Linked DNA regions of Danio rerio. The protein of the gene in region 1 purifies or fractionates together with the protein of each later gene. This does not show direct contact. Links are inferred from orthologs where the notes say so. Each region holds a gene or a part of one and is shown on either strand. Other genes may lie near its edges. The genes, in order: tmem9b, flvcr1 and clcn3.

Region 1 (3,761 bases):
GATCAGAACAGAAAATTGATTAAGAAGGTGGTCCATGCTTGCAGTATGGATGGAAATTATGCGACATACATAAAGAAAATAGCAGACAAATGGCAACAAAAGTCAGCAATCATTGAAAATAGTATACTGCACACTGCTCAGACCAGTAATATATAATGGCAGTATAGTGTACAATTTGGCATCAGCATCTTTGCTTATGAAATGAGATGGAATAAAATATTAGTCCTAAAGAACAGGATGTGGAGTCTTCAGCACATAGTCATTCTCCGGCTATGCAATAGATGGAAACAGAATGAAGAGATACAGTACTATGTTTCAACTTTTTATATGCATGACATGATTTTTACATAAAGAGATCCTCTTAAACACAGGACTTTCTGTATGAAATTGTACACCATTTATGCTAAAATGGTAAAGTCAGTTCAATGGTGAAGGGATTGAGCAAATATGCCAATTGATTGAAGGTTTGCAAAGAAATGTCATGCTCTCTTGTAAAAGTATTTTGTAGTATTTTTAAAATACAAAAATACAGTATTTCATTTTGATACAAGTTGTGGCTGCGGTCTTTTGTAGTTTATTTTGATACACCTAAATCTAAAGGTATTTGGTATTTTATTTTAAAATACATTTTAATGTATTTTTGCCCAGCCCTTTTTACGTGGACATGCATGTATGTGTGTAAAATACTAATAAAATCTGTATTTTAATACTTTAAGTCGTTTTATATGATCAAAAGGGAAAATAAACCTACATACATCGATGTATGAACACATTTTCATATTGAAACCTGGAACTGAGCCATGACCTAAATGCATCATGCAGGAAACACATGACTGGAATGAACCCAAATACGACTCTTTTGTGGAAACATTTGTAACCTAAATCTTGTTATTAGTAAACGGACATGCTCAATCTCGCAGAACATTAGTTCCCATTCACTTGTTTCCGGAAGGAAGTGAGAATCTGCGGACCGCAGCTGACGGTCAGCTGATGTGTCAGACCAGCCCTCACGCGTTGTTTTGTTGTCTTTTATTTCTAGGAAAAGACGTCTAACAATTGCATGAATTGCTAAACGAATATTTGTTTAGTCGTAATTCCGAGAATATCTCTCTTCGGCGTTTGACAGCAATCTTTAGAACTGAAGCGAGAAAGATGTATCGACTGACCCACAGAGCCGCTGTCAATTTGTTGACGTTTTCATCGTTGCTATGTTTTCTGCTTTTATTGTCCGCACAAACATCAGAAGCTAAGGTAAAGTATCATTTTTCCCGCTTTATTGTAATACACGAAAATAATACTTTGTGCTCTTCGGCGCGTACTGATGTTATGGGCAATGCTAACTAGCTATTAGCATGTGGTAGTGTATGTGAAATAAAAGCACACGTAACGTTGCATCATTAAAAATGCAACGCTTTTCTGACTTCAAACGATGTAAAATGTGTTTTTAGTGCTCATAAACGTGTGGTTTGACTTAGTCATTTATTAATGTATATATGCAAGCTTATGCCTTTGGATTGGTTTCATCAGAATTCGGAAGATATCCGGTGCAAATGCATCTGTCCACCCTACAAAGAGGTAGATGGGAAGATCTACAATCAAAACGTTTCCTTGAAAGACTGGTAAATAATTTACTAAGGCTTTAAGCGAGTCTACAGTACTTTCAGTTATAAACTAACTCTTTGACCCTCTGTTCACTGATCCATAACCTCTGAATATATTGATATGCACAGTAATTGCCTTCATGTGGTGGAGCCGATGCCCGTTGAAGGCAAGGATGTGGAGGCATACTGTTTACGCTGTGAATGCAAATATGAAGAAAGGAGCTCTGGAACTATCAAAGTAAGTTCATTTTGTTTACATGACATGACAAATTGAAATGCATGGAGACAGGGAATTTAGAGAGAGGGCTTGGCGATATGACAAAAAATCTCATATCACAATATAATTCACCTCATATTCTGATAACAGGGTAAATATACTATGTTTCATCTGAGTTTTACTTCTAAAATGAGTATTTATTTCAACTTAGGTTCTTGTTCAGTTATTTCACTTTAAAAGCAATAAAAATATCCTGTTCATCACCATAAAGGTGAAATAACCAAACTTGCACACAGGAGTCTTACAAAAATGCTCATTTTAGGTGGGACTTGGAGGCTTTTGCATCTCAGCTCTTTATGCAGGTCATAATAGTTGTTTTTCTATAAATTTAACCAATTTATAGTTTTTGTATAGTAACATGGAAATGACCGTTTTTTTTTTTTTTTTTTACATTTTATATTATATACACCAAGGGTGTCTCAACTCACTCCTGGAGGGCTGGTGTTCTCGAGAGTTTAGCCTAACCCTAATTAAACACTCCTGAACCATTTAATCAAGCTCTTACTAGATATACTAGAAATTTCCTGGCAGATGTGTTGGAGCTAAGTTATGCAGGACACCGGCTCTCCAGAAACGAGTTTGGACACCCCTGGTAAAGACCATTCCAATGTGGCGATGTCACTGGCCCTCGAACATTTACTGCTCGTACAAAGTACCAATTCAATCATATGAAATGTTAAAAATCTAACATTATTTATCAATATGTGGACCTTTTTGGATACTTTGTAGCTTTAGTAATTAAAAAATGTAAAACAGAAAACAGGTTAGGACCATTATTATGGTTTACCTCTATCAAAATGGTCTATACACCTAAAAATGTACTCATTTCATGTGTGTTTATTTTTTCCTGGGTAATGTTTGATTACGAATGTAGGAATGTCAATTAAAAATGAATGAAATTTAAAACTCTTCACAAAATGATTACAGTCACCCTAAATAAAGGATTGTTAAATGGAATGCAAAATGTAAATGTTGTACCTTCTAGCTTGTCAAAAAAACAAGCAAAAACTCACTGCACCCCCTAACCAAAACATTTGCCTTTTTTACTTTAGTAAACTTATCACTCAATTGTCGCTGGTGTCTTTTTGATCTTTGATGTTTGAGAGTGCCTAGACTCTCCTTCATTTACTACCTTTAAGCTTGTGTGACACCATAAAATACATTATAGAGCATAATATGAAATGAAACTATAGACTTTTTACATTACATTACATTACATTTAGTCATTTAGCAGACGCTTTTATCCAAAGCGACTTACAAATGAGGACAAGGAAGCAATTTACACAACTATAAGAGCAACAATGAATAAGTGCTATAGGCAAGTTTCAGGTCTGTAAAGTCTAAGAAGGAAAGCATTAGTATTTTTTTTCTTTTTTTTTTGGTACAGTTAGTGGTATATCCAGAGAGGCAATTGCAGATTAGGAAGTGAAGTGGAGACACTAAATAGTTGAGTTTTTAGTCGTTTCTTGAAAATAGCGAGTGACTCTGCTGTTCTGATGCAGTTAGGGAGTTCATTCCACCAACTGGGCAGATTGAGCGTGAGCATTCACGAAAGTGATTTCTTCCCTCTTTGGGATGGAACCACGAGGCGACGTTCATTCACAGAACGCAAGTTTCTGGAGGGCACATAGATCTGCAGAAGTGAGAGCAGATAAGAAGGAGCAAGGCCAGAAGTCACTTTGTAGGCAAACATCAGAGCTTTGAATTTGATGCGAGCAGCAACTGGCAGCCAGTGCAAACGGACTAGCAGCGGAGTGACACGTGCTCTTTTAGGTTCATTGAAGACCACTCGTGCTGCTGCTTTTATTTTGTCCATACTTTATAGTCAAAATTAGAAGTGGATTTAAAAAAAGTTTTGTTGTTGATTGAATAGTATTAGGACT
Region 2 (3,661 bases), on another chromosome or scaffold:
CAGCTAGTTCAGGGGTGTCAAACTCAATTCCTGGAGTGCCGAAGTCCTGCACAGTTTAGTTCCAACCCTGCTCCAACACACTTACCTGTAGGTTTCAAACAAGCCTGAAGGACTCGATTAGTTTGATCAGGTGTGTTTAATTAGGGTTGGAACTAAACTGTGCAGAGCTGCAGCCCTTTTGGAACTGAGTTTGACACCTGTGAGCTAGTCCTTCCAATGATTTATCACTAAATATTGGCTCAAGTTGATATGGTTTAATCAACTCCATTAGAAACTGAAATTCAATAACTCTTAAGACCTTTTCTAAGACTATTACCGTGCAGAGTTCCCTATTAAAGGAGGGATTTATAGAGCTGCACAATGTCTCATATATCGCATTGTGTGCATCCACAAGTCACATCGCAACATATGCAATGTTGAGTCTGATTATAGATGACCATAGGTTAAAACACAGGATATTTCGGGAGTCACTGCATAATTCAACCACAATAGACTGAAAGTTTATCATCTGCATGTGTTTTTAGTATTGTAAGAGAGTTTAAAACATTTGAATAGAGCATAAAGAAGTTTAATGAAGATTAGTTTTATTTAATTATTTATATGATGAAGACTATGCAGTGTTATTTTACATTTGATTATTAAATTTCTGTACTGAATATAGTTACTCTCTCCAGAAAACCATAAAGCATGGTTTATTTCACTTTGAGATTTGCTCCATTGTGTTTATTTATGGCTGTAGTTGGTTTATTATATGTACAGTTAAAGTCAGAATTATTACCCCTCTTAGGTTTCACCTTAAAATGGTGTTTAAATAAAAAGGGGCAGCACAGTGGTCCAGTGGGTGGCACAATTACCCCACAACAAGAAAGTTGCTGGTTCGAGCCCTGGCTGGGGCAATTGGCATTTCTGTGTGAAGTTTGCATGTTCTCTCCGTGTTCAAGTGGGTTTCCTCCAGGTGCGATGAATGAATGAATAAAAAATTTAAAACTGCTTTTATGCTAGCTGAAATAAAACAAGAATCCCCAGAAGAAAATTTCCTTGCTCTGTTAAACATCATTTAAAAAAATTCAAAGGGGGCTATTAATTCTGAAAAAAATAAATGACAAAAACTATATTTATATTTCACTTCTCTACAGAATCATCCCACTCAATATAAAGTAATGCCTTAGCAAATAGAGCTATTTAAGTAATCTGATTAAATTGTATTTATATCGCATTATATAGAAAAAAAATTGCAATGTAAAATGTTTCCAATATCGTGCAGCCCTAATTTAAAATTAATGAAACTTTGAGCAAATCGTTTGAGATTCTTTAAATGAGAAGATGTGAAATATATAGTTGTTTTTTGACCTTGGATGCATGTACAGTAAACCTATTGTAGGAAACCTCCAAAACAAAACTAAGAACCTTTAAAATAGCATAATAGGGCACTTTAAATTACAAGCAAACGATTAAAAGATAAAATCCACCTGTTCAGCATATACTTACTTATAGGTTTTAGTACGATCCAGCCAGATTCCACAAAGTATGGAGCCAAACATTCCAGCCACCACCAAGGTCAAGCCGATTCTGCCTGTGTTTAGCTCCTCACCCTAAAACAACAAGTTTGTATAAGATTAAAAGGTGTTTTAAAGTGTGTAACTTAACATTTCAATCATTTTTCAAACATGTTAGCCTTGATCTTAAGACTTTATATTAGAAGCTTACAAAAGCAAATTCATTAGGGCTCCAGTTGAAACCAGCAGCTGACAGTGTGTCCACCAAAGAAAACAAAGTGAAAACACCTAGCAGTGCATGCTTGATTTGAATAAGTTGAGATGTTTTGGTAGATATGATATACAGTTGAAGTCAGAATTATTAAACTACCTGAATTATTAGCACCCCTGTTTATTTTTTCCCCAATTTCTGTTTAATGGAGAGAAGATTTTTTCAACACATTTCTAAACATTAGTTTTAATAACTCATTTCTAATAACTGATTTATTTTATCTTTGCCATGATGACAGTAAATAATATTTGACTAGATATTGTTCACGACACTTCTATACAGCTTAAAGTGACATTTAAAGGCTTAACTAGGTTAATTAGGTTAACTAGGCAAGTTATTGTATAATGATGGTTTGTTCTGTATTCTATCAAAAAATATATAGCTTAAAGGGGCTAATAAATTTTGACCTTAAAATGTTTTTTTTTTTTTTTTATCAAAAACTGCTTGTATTCTAGCCGGAATAAAACAAATAAGTCTTTCTCCAGAAGAAAAAATATTATCAGACATACTGTGAAAATTTCCTTGCTCTGTTAAACCTTATTTGGGAAATATTTAAAAAGGAAAAAAATGTTCAAAGGGGTTTAATAATAATGTAAAAAGTTTAATAATTCTGACTTTAACTGTAAAATACCTATGGATACTGTTAATAACTACCCTTCCTACACTGTGATTGGAAAGTTGGCTAAAAAGGTGAAAGTTATGAGCAATTATTTTTACCTAAAGTTGATCACTGGCACTAGCTGACACTAAATTTGTGACGCAAGCATTTGTGATTAAAAAGCTTTTTATTTAATTTTTTATTTTTTAAAGAAAAAGCCAGACTTTTTTGCTATATAAAGCCATTATTCCTTGGCTGGGACCATGTAAAGCTCTCTGAAGCTGCACTGTACCTGCAATTTACAAGTTCAAACTACTGAGCACCCTAGAAATCAACTATATGAAGAAAACATCCTAGGGCGTTTTCCTCAAAAACTGAATTTCTTTTCAGTAGAAAAAAGAAGGAAATTAACATCTTGGATGACAAGTGGGTGAGAATTTATAAAGATTTTTATTCTGTATCTTTTTAAAACCAATGCTCCCATTGAGACCAAATGGAAAAATGTGCTACCCTTGGTTGAAAAAAGCATTGGTGGGTGCACAGCCCTAACAAAGAAAATTCTGTATAAAAAATGTCAAAACAATTCTTGCTTACCTAGACCTATTTAAATAATTAAAAACAGTGTTATATAGTACAGGTCAGTAGCTGGCGAAGCAAATTTGCGAATGAAACACTACAAACCTGTGCACATACTCTCTTGTGTAATCAACCATTATTGTTTTAGTTGTCAAGTATTCATGCAGTCTGATAGTATGAACACATCATACCCATGAGAATGACGTCACAAAATCATGCTATTGTAGTTTACACAGAGACCACAATAACTGCAATAATAATAAACTGCAGAGGTTTGCAAAGAAATTAAGCCATAAATATGATCAAACAATCAAAATCTTCATTGTGTATGACAAAAACGCAAAAAGAAATGAGGTTATGTTGAGGTTAAGTTTAGATAAAAGGTACAAAACTGTGCGTTATAATAACAGATTAAAGAAAATATACATGAACATAAAATATGGGTAACACTTTAAAATAATGGTCCATTAGTTATTGTTAGTTCATGTATTTAATAACGTGAACAAACAATTCATTACACTTTTATTACGTATTTATTAATCTTTGTTAACATTAGCTAATGTTATTTAAGTTAAATACCATTAGTTCATGTTAACTAACGGTGCTTTAACTAATGTAAACTTTGGAATTTAATAATTCATAAGTAAATGTTGAACCATGAATCATGAATGCTTTACAAGATTATTCATATTTAGTAAATGTTAGTAAATACATAGACTA
Region 3 (3,761 bases), about 21 Mb from region 1:
CTGGGAAACATCCACACACACATTCACACACACTCATACACTACGGCCAATTTAGTTTACCCAATTCACCTGTACCGCATGTCTTTGGACTGTGGGGGAAACCGGAGCACCCGGAGGAAACCCACGCGAAGGCAGGAAGAACATGCAAACTCCACACAGAAACGCCAACTGAGGAGAGGTTCGAACCAGCGACCCACCGACCTTCTTGCTGTGAGGCGACAACACTACCTACTGCGCCACTGCCTTACCCTACTTTAATTTAGCATTATTTTAATTAATAATAAATATAATGTATATTTACATTAGAACACTATTATGATTAAAAATATTATAACAATTAATTATACATTTATTTTTATACTGTTTTGTTTTAATTTATATGTATTATAATTATTTTACTTTAATTTTTATCACTATTTCAATGCATTATTAATAACTTATTGATTTATTTTTAAACTTGTATTTTGTAAAAATCTTAATTGATTTTATTCAATTAATATTTTATATGAAACTCTTAATATCAATGTTTAAATATAATAATAATATGACAATATTTTGATAGGAAAATATCACAAGTGTTATATAAATTGTATACATTTGTTGTTATTGCTATTTGCACAATTTATTCCTTTATTTAATTTCTTTTTAATTTTATAATACATGATTTTTTTTATGGTTGCTTGTTATTTTATTTTGTTTTAATTTTTTCTAGCATAATTTCTTTATTGCCTTAGATAATTTACTTTGCACTTATAAATTTATATTTATATTACACTATATATTATATACAAGATGTCACAATGTAGTGTTATTAAAAATAATAATAAATATATATATATATTTTTTTATTATTTATATATATATATATATATATATATATATATATTATATATATATATATATATATATATATATATATATATATTATTTTTAATAATAGTTTAGCTTTATTTGAGCTTTTTCCATATATATATATATATATATATATATATATATATATATATATATATATATATATATATATATATATATATATATATACACACACACGTCACTACCTGATTTGTTGTTTTTAATTATTATTAAATACCCGTTCGTTATTGTACTGTGACATAACCCACATTTTAGACATGTTATTTTTAATTATGTGTAATTATCACATGTTTAATTCAGAGACTGTTATTTACACCGTCGTTCTCCGGTTGATTTAACGTTACGTTTAATTAAACAAGTCGAATGAATCGGATCTGAATTCCTGCTGCTGGCGGAGCGACACCGGAAGTGCACGTCACAGACACAGGAATGGGCCAAAATAAGCGTTAGCGGAGCAGAAAAACACAGGCACAAACGGAGGATAAAATGCGTCCTCGTGTTGGGTTTGTGCTGCTGGGATGATCCGCGGTTTCAGAGCTCGTTTCGAGGCATCGCAGAGGTAAGATCAAGAACATCTGTGTGCGAGGAACAGCATCACATTTAACCCAGCGAGCACCTGTCAGCTGCTGTCTGACTCGGGTTTATGATAAACACTTAAACATGTTGCTCTACAGCCACATACAGTCCTGTGGCTCTGTTTTAATGAGTGTATTATTTGCTTAAAGTCAAATTTGTTTACGCAGAATTTCAAAATGTGAGATGTATTTTTAGTCAAAGCTTCTCTTTCATCCTCATGATGATGGTGATAGGGTGATGCTGTTTGTTTATTTAGGCTTTTTCCATTTTAATGACTGTATAAACTGATTTCAGTGCTTTATTGTGAAGTAAAGTGTACATTTTTAGTGAAAGCTTCTGTTTTTTCTTCATAATGATGATGGTGGTGGTGATGCTGTTCGTTTATTTGAGCTTTTGTCATTTTTATGTCTATTTTTAGTGACTATAAACTGATTTCAGGGCTATTTTTAATTCAGAGTCCAGTATTGAGATGCAGAGTTTTTGGTTAAACCCATTTCTTTTACTTCATGATGGTGATTATGTTGTTTATTTGAGCTTTTTATATTTTAATGTCTATTTTAATGCCTGTATGAACTGATTTCATGGCTATTTTTCGTGATGTGAGATGTAGATTTGTATTTAAAGCTTCAGTTTTATCTTCGTTATGCTGATAATATTTGTTTATTTTTTAATTTTTATTTTATTTCTATGTAATGACTGTATGAATCTATTTCAATGCTATTTTATATTCAGAATTCAGTAGTGAGATGCGTATTTTTGGTTAAACCTGTTTGTTTTATATTAAGGATGGCGATGATGTTGTTTATTTGTAGATTTTTCCATATTTTTAATTCAGAGTCCAGTATTGAGATGCAGATTTTTGGTTAAATCCATTTCTTTTACACCATGATGGTGATTATGTTTATTTATTTTGATCTTTGTCTATTTTAATGACTGTATAAACTGATATCAGGGCTATTTTTTGTGAGGTGAGAGATGTAGATTTTTAGTTAAGCTTTGGTTTTATCTTAATGATGGTTTTTATATTTCAATGCCTGTTTGAACTGATTTCGGTGCTACTTTTAAGTCAGGGTCCATTAGTAAGATGCAGATTTTTGATCAAACCTGTTTCTTGTACATTAATGATGGTCATGATGTTTGTTTGTTTGGATCTTTTTCTATTCTAATGTCTATTTTTATTGACTCTATGAACTGATTTCAGGGCTGTTTTTTTGTGAGATGAGAGATGTAGATTTTTAGTTAAGCTTATGTTTTATATTCATGATGATGATGTTTGTTTATTTGAGATTTTTGTCATTTTAATGTCTATTTTAGTGACTGTTTGAACTCATTTCAGAGCTATTTTTAATTCAGAGTCCAGTATTGAGATGCAGAGTTTTGGTTAAACCCATTTCTTTTACATCATGATGGTGATTATGTTGTTTGTTTGAGCTTTTTATATTTTAATGTTCATTTTAATCACTGTTTGATCTGATTTCAGGGCCTTATTGTGAAGAGAGATGTAGATTTTTAGTTAAGGATTCTGTTTTATCTTTATGATGGTTATTATATTTTATTTTTGGACGTTTTTATATTTTAATGTCCATTTTAATGCCTGTTTGAACTGATTTCGGTGCTACTTTTAAGTCAGGGTCCATTAGTAAGATGCAGATCTTTGGTTGAACCTGTATCTTGTACATTAATGATGGTGATGATGTTTTTTTTATTTTGATCTTTGTCTATTTTAATGTCTATTTTAATGACTTTATAAATTGATTACAGGGCTATTTCAGTGAAGATGTAGATTTTTAGTTAAGCTTTCGTTTTATATTCATGATGTTTGTTTATTTGAGATTTTTGTCATTTTAATGTCTATTTTAGTGACTGCTTGAACTTATTTCAGGGCTATTTTTAATTCAGAGTCCAGTATTGAGATGCAGATTTCTGGTTAAACATTTTTGTTGTACATTAATGTTGGTAATGATGTTTGTTTATTTTGATCTTTTTCTATTTTAATGTCTATTTTCAGTGTTAATTTTGTGAAGTGAGATGTAGATTTTTAGTTAAAGCTTCTGTTTTATCTTGATGATGGCGATTGTTTGTTTATTTCAGCTTTAGTGTTCATGTTCATAATGTTCATATAGCTTTTAGTGACTGTATGAACTGATTTCAGTGCTGTTTTTTGTGAAGGGACATGTATATTTTTAGGTAAAGCTTCAGTTTTGTCTTCGTTATGTTGATGGTGTTTGTTTATTTTGAGGTTTTTTTTATTTTAATATCTATTTTAGTGACTATTGTACAGGTTTTAGTGCTATTTTAATTCAGAATTCAGT

Evidence for each region.
Region 2: the proteins of tmem9b (region 1) and flvcr1 purify together in Homo sapiens (co-immunoprecipitation; 3 studies listed by BioGRID and IntAct, counting the BioPlex papers as one, with this or other methods). This does not show direct contact. The link is inferred for Danio rerio from reciprocal best matches to the Homo sapiens genes TMEM9B and FLVCR1.
Region 3: the proteins of tmem9b (region 1) and clcn3 purify together in Homo sapiens (co-immunoprecipitation; 3 studies listed by BioGRID and IntAct, counting the BioPlex papers as one, with this or other methods). This does not show direct contact. The link is inferred for Danio rerio from reciprocal best matches to the Homo sapiens genes TMEM9B and CLCN3.

Annotation. Positions count from the first base shown.
Region 1 is NC_133182.1:28,601,072-28,604,832, reverse strand, and holds the start of tmem9b (transmembrane protein 9B precursor), read left to right. Parts: upstream 1-981; 5' UTR 982-1,152; coding exon 1,153-1,251; intron 1,252-1,527; coding exon 1,528-1,619; intron 1,620-1,730; coding exon 1,731-1,839; intron 1,840-3,761. UniProt on the Homo sapiens protein: Enhances production of pro-inflammatory cytokines induced by TNF, IL1B, and TLR ligands. Has a role in TNF activation of both the NF-kappaB and MAPK pathways.
Region 2 is NC_133195.1:41,124,389-41,128,049, reverse strand, and holds part of flvcr1 (heme transporter FLVCR1), read right to left. Parts: intron 1,593-3,661; coding exon 1,489-1,592; intron 1-1,488.
Region 3 is NC_133182.1:7,339,431-7,343,191, forward strand, and holds the start of clcn3 (H(+)/Cl(-) exchange transporter 3), read left to right. Parts: upstream 1-1,290; 5' UTR 1,291-1,432; intron 1,433-3,761.